2 linked regions of the Ovis aries genome follow. The protein of the gene in region 1 binds, or shares a complex with, the protein of each later gene. Links are inferred from orthologs where the notes say so. Each region holds a gene or a part of one and is shown on either strand. Other genes may lie near its edges. The genes, in order: ACVR2B and GDF2.

Region 1 (3,809 bases):
TCACTGGCTGAAACACCCGGTGAGGGTCGGCGGGGGCTGCGGCGGCGGCTGTGGGCGTGGGGTGCTGACGGCCAGCAGGGGAGCTTCACCCACGGCAGGGCCAGAGGGGAGGGCTCAGGCCGCAGGCCCAGCCCCACCTCCCCCGGGTGCGTTGCCTCCCTTCCACCCGGGGAGCGTCTGTGCAGGTTAGTGCACTCCAAGGCAGCGGCTCTGGTTTTGACCCCAGAGAGTGATGGGACCTGAAATCCTGGATCTGTCCGTCGGTAGCTGGGTGACATCTGGCAGATTGCTTTATTTCTCTGAGCTCTTGTCTCCTCAGGGTAGTATTAGATTTAAGGAGTTGCTGTACCTCACTGGGCAGGACACCTATTACTTAAGTGTTTAATACGGCTTAGCTCGGATGAAGTAATCACTTTTCCCTGCCCTCATCAACTTTTTGGGCCTGGGCTGAGCTACGTGGCATCTGGGCCCCTCCAGTCTGCGGATATGTACAAAAGACCCCAGCTGTGGAAACCGTTAACATTTCTTGGAAGGATATTTGCCTTGAGCTCTATTGACTCCCTTCCCCCTGGCACCCTAGGGTTAATTCCGAAGGATATCACTGGGGGCTGGCGCTCTTCCCACATTGTCAGGGGTTGAGCTGTGGAGGTCAGGTTCTGCTGCCATGCTGCCTGCTCCCTGAAACCCAAGACTGCAGATGGAGAAAATATAGGCACCGGGAGAGGGAAGCTGGGCCTTGCTTCTGCCTTAGACGTTCAGTCTCTCAGGGCAGAGACGCTGCGGTCGCCAGTCCAGTTCCCTGACGTGGAACAGGCCCAGAGGGAGCTGAGTGTGGCCTAGTGCCAAGCAGGCTGGACCGTTCTGGGTACGGGTGGGCACTTTGCTCATCTTGCGGCCTTTCCCAGCTTCACGCAGTTGGTTCTAGCACAAGGTGTCAGGCCCTATTTCCTGGACTCTGGGGAGGTTCTGGGGGCCGTGGGGAAAAAGGTGGGATGAAGTCCCCCTCTGTCTCCACTGTAACTGCACATTGGGCCCCTGTGTGATTTGGACTTTGCCCAAGATCTTGTGGCAATGTCACCAGTCCAAGGCAGGCGGCCCTGTGGGCCCTGGATTCCCTTGTTGAGTATTGAGGTTCAGTGGCCCTTCCCTGGGGGCTGTGGAGGAGGCCGGTGGGCTCAGGACCCTGACTGCTGGCAGGGGAGCGTCCCCCAGAGCCCTGTGGACGGGCCTGTGGGCTCAGTCCTCGGGAACATGGCTGGTTTGCTTGTCCTCACTGAGGGCCACCAGCAGAGGCATGCGTTTCCTCTCTCCCGCTGGCGTGCAGGGCCTGGCCCAGCTCTGCGTGACAATCGAGGAGTGCTGGGACCACGACGCGGAGGCTCGCCTGTCCGCGGGCTGCGTGGAGGAGCGAGTGTCCCTGATTCGGAGGTCGGTCAACGGCACTACCTCGGACTGTCTCGTCTCCCTGGTGACCTCCGTCACCAACGTGGACCTGCCCCCGAAGGAGTCGAGCATCTAAGCCCAGGACACGAGTGGCTCTCCAGACTCAGTAGATCTGAAGAGGAAAGGAAAGAAAACAAAAAAAAGTTGTGTTTTGTTTTGGAAATCCCATAATACCAACAAACACATAAAATGCAGCTGCTATTTTACCTTGACTTTTTATTATTATTATAATTATTATAATTATTATTATTAATATTATTTTTTTGGATTGGATCAGTTTTTACCAGCACATTGCTCTACTGTATCGCAAACAGCGGACACGTCAGCAGGCGTTGCGGTGCTGAGCTGTGAATGAGGAACCAGCGCCATGCTGAAGAGCCTCGGCCACCTCCTGCCCCTCGGGGTCCATTTTCCCCCGCTTTCTCTTTGTTTGTTGTCTCAGAACCTGTGACACAAAGAAACCCATCCTGTCTTAGGAAACTTAATGCTGCAAACTCTACCTAGAGGAACCTTTGAAGACTGTTACATAAGAACACACCTTCCTCACACGAGGAGTTTCCCTCTGCCCTCGTCCCCCTCCCGCCTCACCTTTTACTGTGTTTTTATCCCTTTTTAGACAGTGAGTTTAAGAAACAGCAGGCGTGTCTTTTCACGGATGAACGGGTGTTGTCCTGACCGAGGAAAAACTGGGCTGAGGCTGAGGATGGTTTGGACTGGAGGGGAGGACGGAGCTGGGGGTGGGTTCTGGAGCAGAGCTACACTGGACTCGGGCACACTCGGAGCAACATCCTTTGCTATGAGACTACTTCTCAGGTAACCCGGAATCGAGGGGAAGGATCGCGTGGAGGCCGAGCATGAACAGCAAGAGCGGGGTTTGGAGAAAGTCTGAAATCAGGTGTGGCTCTGGCCCATCTGTGTGCCCTGTCCAGTTTTTCTTTTCACTCACTTGGGCTTGGGCATAAGACACAACATTTTTTTCTACCCTGATTTTAAGGTTCGGCAAGGGTAGAAATCATCACGGTTTAGTGAGTACAGTCTTGATGAGACGTTATACTGTAAATATCTGTAAGGGAGGAAAAGTTGAGCGTTTCCTCCTGGAGCAGTTCAGGGAAATGGCCACGTGGGGGCGCCCTGCGTAGCCGGGGCGAGAGGATTTCCTGGGTCCGGCCTGGCCAAGGCCTGTCTCTCTGGAGAGCCCCAGAGTCCTGCAGCGCTGGCTCTGTCTGCCCTGTGTGGTGACGTTACTGTCCCTTTATGTAGCTCGTGGACACAGCTTTCTCCAGACCCCCTCACAAGAGGTGCATATTCGAAAAAAACCGTTTCTCTGTTTTGCCATAACCTTGCTCTCGTCAGTGAATGTTCCTAATGCTGCTGTTTCAACCTTTGACTTTTTTTTTTTAATTTATGAAACATGCAAATTTTTTTTTTTTTTTCTTAAAAACACACACATCCACGCAAATGCTTTGCTATGTGGCTTCCGAGGTTTAAATTTTGAAAAGTAAAAGAATTAAAACTTCACGACCACAGACCACCTCAAACCAGAAATACCTCAGAATTTTCTACTTGTGTAAGGTTTATTATATATTTTATTAGTTGTGTTGTCTCGTAGTAAGTATATTTTAATGTAAGTTGGCTTTTATGACAAGAAAGTTTAAAAGAAATAGAGAAAAAGAAAAAAAGTTGTGAGTCTTCTTAGGGAGTGCTCCCGTTTTTCGTTGATAACGTCCCCTTGTAAATAATTGTCATCCACTGTGGGTTGGCTGTCGGGGCTGAGTCTGGGCATTCGTCACTCTTATTTGTGAAGGCATTTCCTTCCCATTGCTTTAGACCCTTTTATTTGAAAACTGGATCTCTTCACCTTGAGGGTAGGCGAGTTGGTGGGCGACGGGGAGAGGTTGACTAGGGTGAGGGGTGGGCGCCTCCTCCTGAGTTTTTTGGAGGTTCCGCTGTTTCCCTCGACTTGGGAGGTCATTGTTCAGAATGACAGGCGACCCCACTTTAACCTGGGAAATCTGTGGCCTTTAGACCCCCATGAGGTAATTTTACTTGAGACTTAATTTCTTCAGCAAGTCAGCGGGGGCGCGAGGGGAAGTGCCCAGCAGGTCTCTGGAGCCGCGCTGCCCGGGCCGCCTGTGATGGCCCGGCCGGGCGGTGGGGGCTCTGGGCCCCCCAGGCTGGGTCCTCCTCTGCGTGTTTGGACACTGTGCAGTGGAGGTGAGCTTTGCTTCACGGGTCAAAATGTGAGCTGGCCAGGGTGGCTCCAGGGACAGGTTTTTGTTTTTTTTTTAGTAAGTTATTTGTCTATCTCTTCTTCCTTTTCTTTTTTAAACTCTTTTGTGCTGTGGTATTTTTCTTCCCTCGGAACG
Region 2 (3,909 bases), on another chromosome or scaffold:
ACCTCACCATCACCCCCAGACCACTGACAGAGCTGTACTTGGGTTCCAGGGCCAGGAGGCCTTGCTGTGTAAGTGATGTTTCTAGAGAGCAGGCCAGGCAGGTGCAGGGCCTCTGGGGATTCCTCCCAAGCTCCCATTCAGTCAGACCCAGGGTAGAGAAGCTGTAGCCAGAAAGCAACCACCCAGCCGACTGGGACTTGCGGTGACTGCCATGCTGGTCAGCACTTATTAGCTGAAGTCCTCACTGCCCTCTTCTGAAGTGGAGGGCCAGAAAGGTGAAACAGCTTGCTCCAGGTCATGCATGCAAGAACAGCTAAGAGAGCTGGGATTTGAACCCACATCCGGTCTGACTCCAAAGTCTCTACCGCCTCACTAAACTGTATGTGCCACCTTTACCCACGACCTCTAAGACTCAGGACTGCACTTGACAAATGGGAAATCGAGGCACCGAGTACTTGAGCCACAGGTGCACATCCAGTTCCACAGGAACCAGGCTTCTCACCAACCCGCCATCCCCACCCCAGCGGCCAGCCCAGGGGCCTCTGGGAGTTTTGTGCTGCTGTTTCCATATTTGGAGGACTTTTGGGTCTTATTTCTTTCCTGGATTCTTTGCTTCGGTGGCCCAGGAGATGGAGCATATGTCACCCTGCCTCAAGATTCTTCTGAGAGCTGGCAAGGAAATGAGAGAGGATCCATCCTAATTAGGGGGCGATAACCCCAAGGAGAAACTCGGATTCTCTGCAGCAGTCCGTGTCCTTCCCATTAGCCCTGTGTGTTTCTCAGATGTTTATAGAGCCTTCATTAACAGAGAGCCCCCTTAGATAAGAGGCCTGAACAGCATCAAGGGCCAGATAAGAACAAGTGGAGGGCACTTCGGGGACAGCAGAAGGGTGAGAGCCTGTGAACTGGCCCGGGTGCGCCGTACAGAGCTGTGGGCAGGACAATGCAGGCCGGCTCCTTCCGGGCTCCTCCCGGCACCCGCTAACACACCGCGGCCGCCGCAGTCTCCAGACCAGGGCGAGAGCCTCCCAAGATGGGCCGTGGGGCGCTCCGGATGGCTCTGCCTGTGCTCTCCCTGCTGGCCTGCTCCGCCCTAGGGAAGCCACTGGAGAACCGGGGGCGGCCGTCCACGGGGGGAGATGCCCACCGCCTGCTACGGGGGCCCGGCGGTGAGCAGGAGGGGGCCACCTTCGACCTGAGGATGTTCCTGGAGAACATGAAGGTGGATTTTCTGCGCAACCTCAACCTGAGTGGGGTCCCTTCTCAGGACAGAACCCGAGCCGAGCCACCACAGTACATGATCGATCTATACAACAGATACACCACCGACAAGACGTCCACCCCTGCGTCAAACATTGTGCGCAGCTTCAGCGTGGAAGGTAGAGTCGGCTCCGTGGGGCGCCCCGGGCGGGGGCGGGGGGACTCAGTGGTGGGTTCAAGGCCGCGCTGCCCGATATGGCGGCCACTTCAGACACGGGACTCTTCGTTTCAATTTAGGTTAATTTAAATGCAATAAAGTTAATAATTTAGTTAGTTTCAGTAGCTTGGGGGCAAGTGCTCAGCAATCATGCCTAGCTACCCTATAGGACATGGAGACTATAGAACAATTCCATCATTGCATAATGTTCTACTAGACATCTCTGCTCTAGAAAATTCTCCCTCTCTGGGCCCAGCACCACATTAACACAGTAGGTGCTGAAGGAATGCCTGCTCGCTTTCTTCCATCCCTTCCCTTCCCCTCCCTTCCCATCCTGTCTCCTTCCTACTTAGACACAGACAACTTACTTAGCCTCTGACTAACAGGCGTCTTTTTAAACACTGAAAGACTGCATTTCTCACTCATCAAAAGGTGTTTAAAATTCAGATAAATTCCTCTGAGAAACACTGGAAGACAAGGTAATTATTTTCTAAGTATAAAATAATTTCCCTGATTTAGTAGGACTAGAAGATAACGAATGTCGACTTAGGGCTTATGTCCTCTAATTCACGCCACGTAGGTGACATGATCTTGTGAGCAGTGAGCCAAGGCTTGCAGACCCTGAGGGAACTTTCCCGGTTCACATATTAGTTAAGCAGCTGGATTCTGACCCAGTCCCATCTGTTTGCACAGCTCAGGCTTTTTTCCGCAGTTGCAGCTTCTAACCAACCAGGCACACAGGACTTCTTCCCTCCTGAGCTTGAGGCCTGCAGACTCCTAGCCATATGCCCTAGCTCAAAGATGCTGTGGTCATGCTGCGTGCCTGGCAAAGCTGTATTTCCCAATGGCCCCTGTGCTGTGCTTAGCTGCTCACTCATGTCTGACTCTTTGTGACCCCATGGACTATAGCCTGCCAGACTCCTCTGTCCATGGGCTTTCTCCAGGCAAGAATACTAGAGTGGGTTCCCATGCCCTCCTCCTGAGGATCTTCCCAACCCAAGGATCAAACCCAGGACTCCTGCACTGCAGGCGAATTCTTTATCATCTGAGCCACCAGGAAGGCCCCTGATGGCCCCAAAAGAAAATGAAAGTCTAGATTTAATGTGGACCTGTCCTGTTTCTAAAAGATGGGTTTAATTTGTTTTAATGCAGTCTGCAGGTAATATAGATACTGGCAGCATCACACTACGCCCATGGGACATGTCTGTAACCCCTGCTTTAGGGAAAGGCTGAGCTTCTTTGGCTGGCCCTAATCACCAAATCCTGTAGTCTGGGAGTCCAGTGTTGGGAGCCATCTCCCAACAGCAGTGGGGTGACCCCGCCCTGCTCCCCTCCCCCCAGCATTGTCTGTGTCCCAGAAGCAGGTGTTCTGATCTGATCCCAGCTCTGCCTGTGGCCAGTGCTGCTGTGGAGGCAGTGATCATTATCACGAACAGCCTGAGTGGCTCGGGCAGAGAGAGCACTTGCTCTCTAGTTAGCTGAAGCGGCCCCTTGGCAATTTTCAAGGCGTGCCACAGAGCACAGCCAGCAGTGAATGCACTGCTCGTGGATCCCGCTCACTACTCGCGTATGACACGGCGGGTTTAACACACGGTACGGGAACGAGAACAGCTCGTCCAGGCTGGGGGAGGGCGCACAGAGAGCTGCGTGAAAGGCCATGTGCTGGGGGCGGTGGAGCAGGCGCAGTTTCTGGGGCAGACATAGAAGTACCTGATTGAGCACCTGCTGCGAACCAGGGACAGCGTTGGGGAGGCTTCATGAGCCTTCTTGTCAAAGCTTCACACCAGCCCTGGGGAGGTGGTAGGATGGAGCCCCATTCTACAGATGAGGAAACTAAGGCCCAGAGAGACTCAGGACTTCTCCCAGCTCATAAGCCTAGAAGAGAGAGAGTAAGGATTGGAATTTTAGACTGTTAGATGCTGCCAGGTTTCATGACAGCACATTCCCTACTCATGTTGGCACATAGGAGATGCTCAGGAAACACAACTTGTCTTCCCTCCTGTGACCAGGCCATGGTATAACAGGATGTGCTAATGGCTGGGAGTCAGCCAGGGAAGTGGGAAGAGAGACAGTTGTGTGGCTAGAAGGCAAGCTCCATATATGTCTAACATGGCCAAGCCATCGAGGTTAATCTATTTTTTCCTCACACATTGAAAAAAAATAAACACCACTTTCATTCTGCTCATAAGTTACCATTCTGAATGATTTCCTACGTGATTTAGGTGATATTTTTAACACTGTAGTAATAAAATTTCACCATCCCCTCCTAGGATCGCTCCTTTACTATTGTATGCTCAGGATTTGCACTCTGAGGCTGATAGTGTGCTTTGATGTTTTGTTTATTTGGTTCTTTTTCTAAGTGAGGATCTTTACAGGATGTGTGCACTTTGGCAGCTGCACACGCTAAATCCAAGTCTCTACATCTGTAAAAGTGTAATAATAATTAGATCTTCTTCCCTGGGTCAGTGTGAAGAGACAAGTAAAATATGCAA

Evidence for each region.
Region 2: the proteins of ACVR2B (region 1) and GDF2 are in contact, whole or in part, in a crystal structure (PDB 4FAO), measured with the Homo sapiens proteins. The link is inferred for Ovis aries from reciprocal best matches to the Homo sapiens genes ACVR2B and GDF2. Residues at the interface, in NP_001097.2 of Homo sapiens: Asn35, Glu39, Cys49, Glu50, Glu52, Lys55, Leu57, Tyr60, Ser62, Arg64, Val73, Lys74, Cys77, Trp78, Leu79, Asp81, Phe82, Asn83, Glu94, Gln98, Val99, Phe101; in NP_057288.1 of Homo sapiens: Arg333, Ile346, Ala347, Pro348, Lys349, Glu350, Tyr351, Glu352, Lys397, Ser399, Pro400, Ile401, Ser402, Val403, Leu404, Lys406, Gly410, Val411, Pro412, Thr413, Leu414, Tyr416, His417.

The regions. Positions count from the first base shown.
Region 1 is NC_056072.1:11,874,232-11,878,040, forward strand, and holds part of ACVR2B (activin receptor type-2B), read left to right. Parts: coding exon 1-19; intron 20-1,324; coding exon 1,325-1,519; 3' UTR 1,520-3,809. UniProt on the Homo sapiens protein: Transmembrane serine/threonine kinase activin type-2 receptor forming an activin receptor complex with activin type-1 serine/threonine kinase receptors (ACVR1, ACVR1B or ACVR1c).
Region 2 is NC_056078.1:41,261,607-41,265,515, reverse strand, and holds the start of GDF2 (growth/differentiation factor 2), read left to right. Parts: upstream 1-881; 5' UTR 882-1,033; coding exon 1,034-1,379; intron 1,380-3,909. UniProt on the Homo sapiens protein: Potent circulating inhibitor of angiogenesis. Signals through the type I activin receptor ACVRL1 but not other Alks. Signaling through SMAD1 in endothelial cells requires TGF-beta coreceptor endoglin/ENG.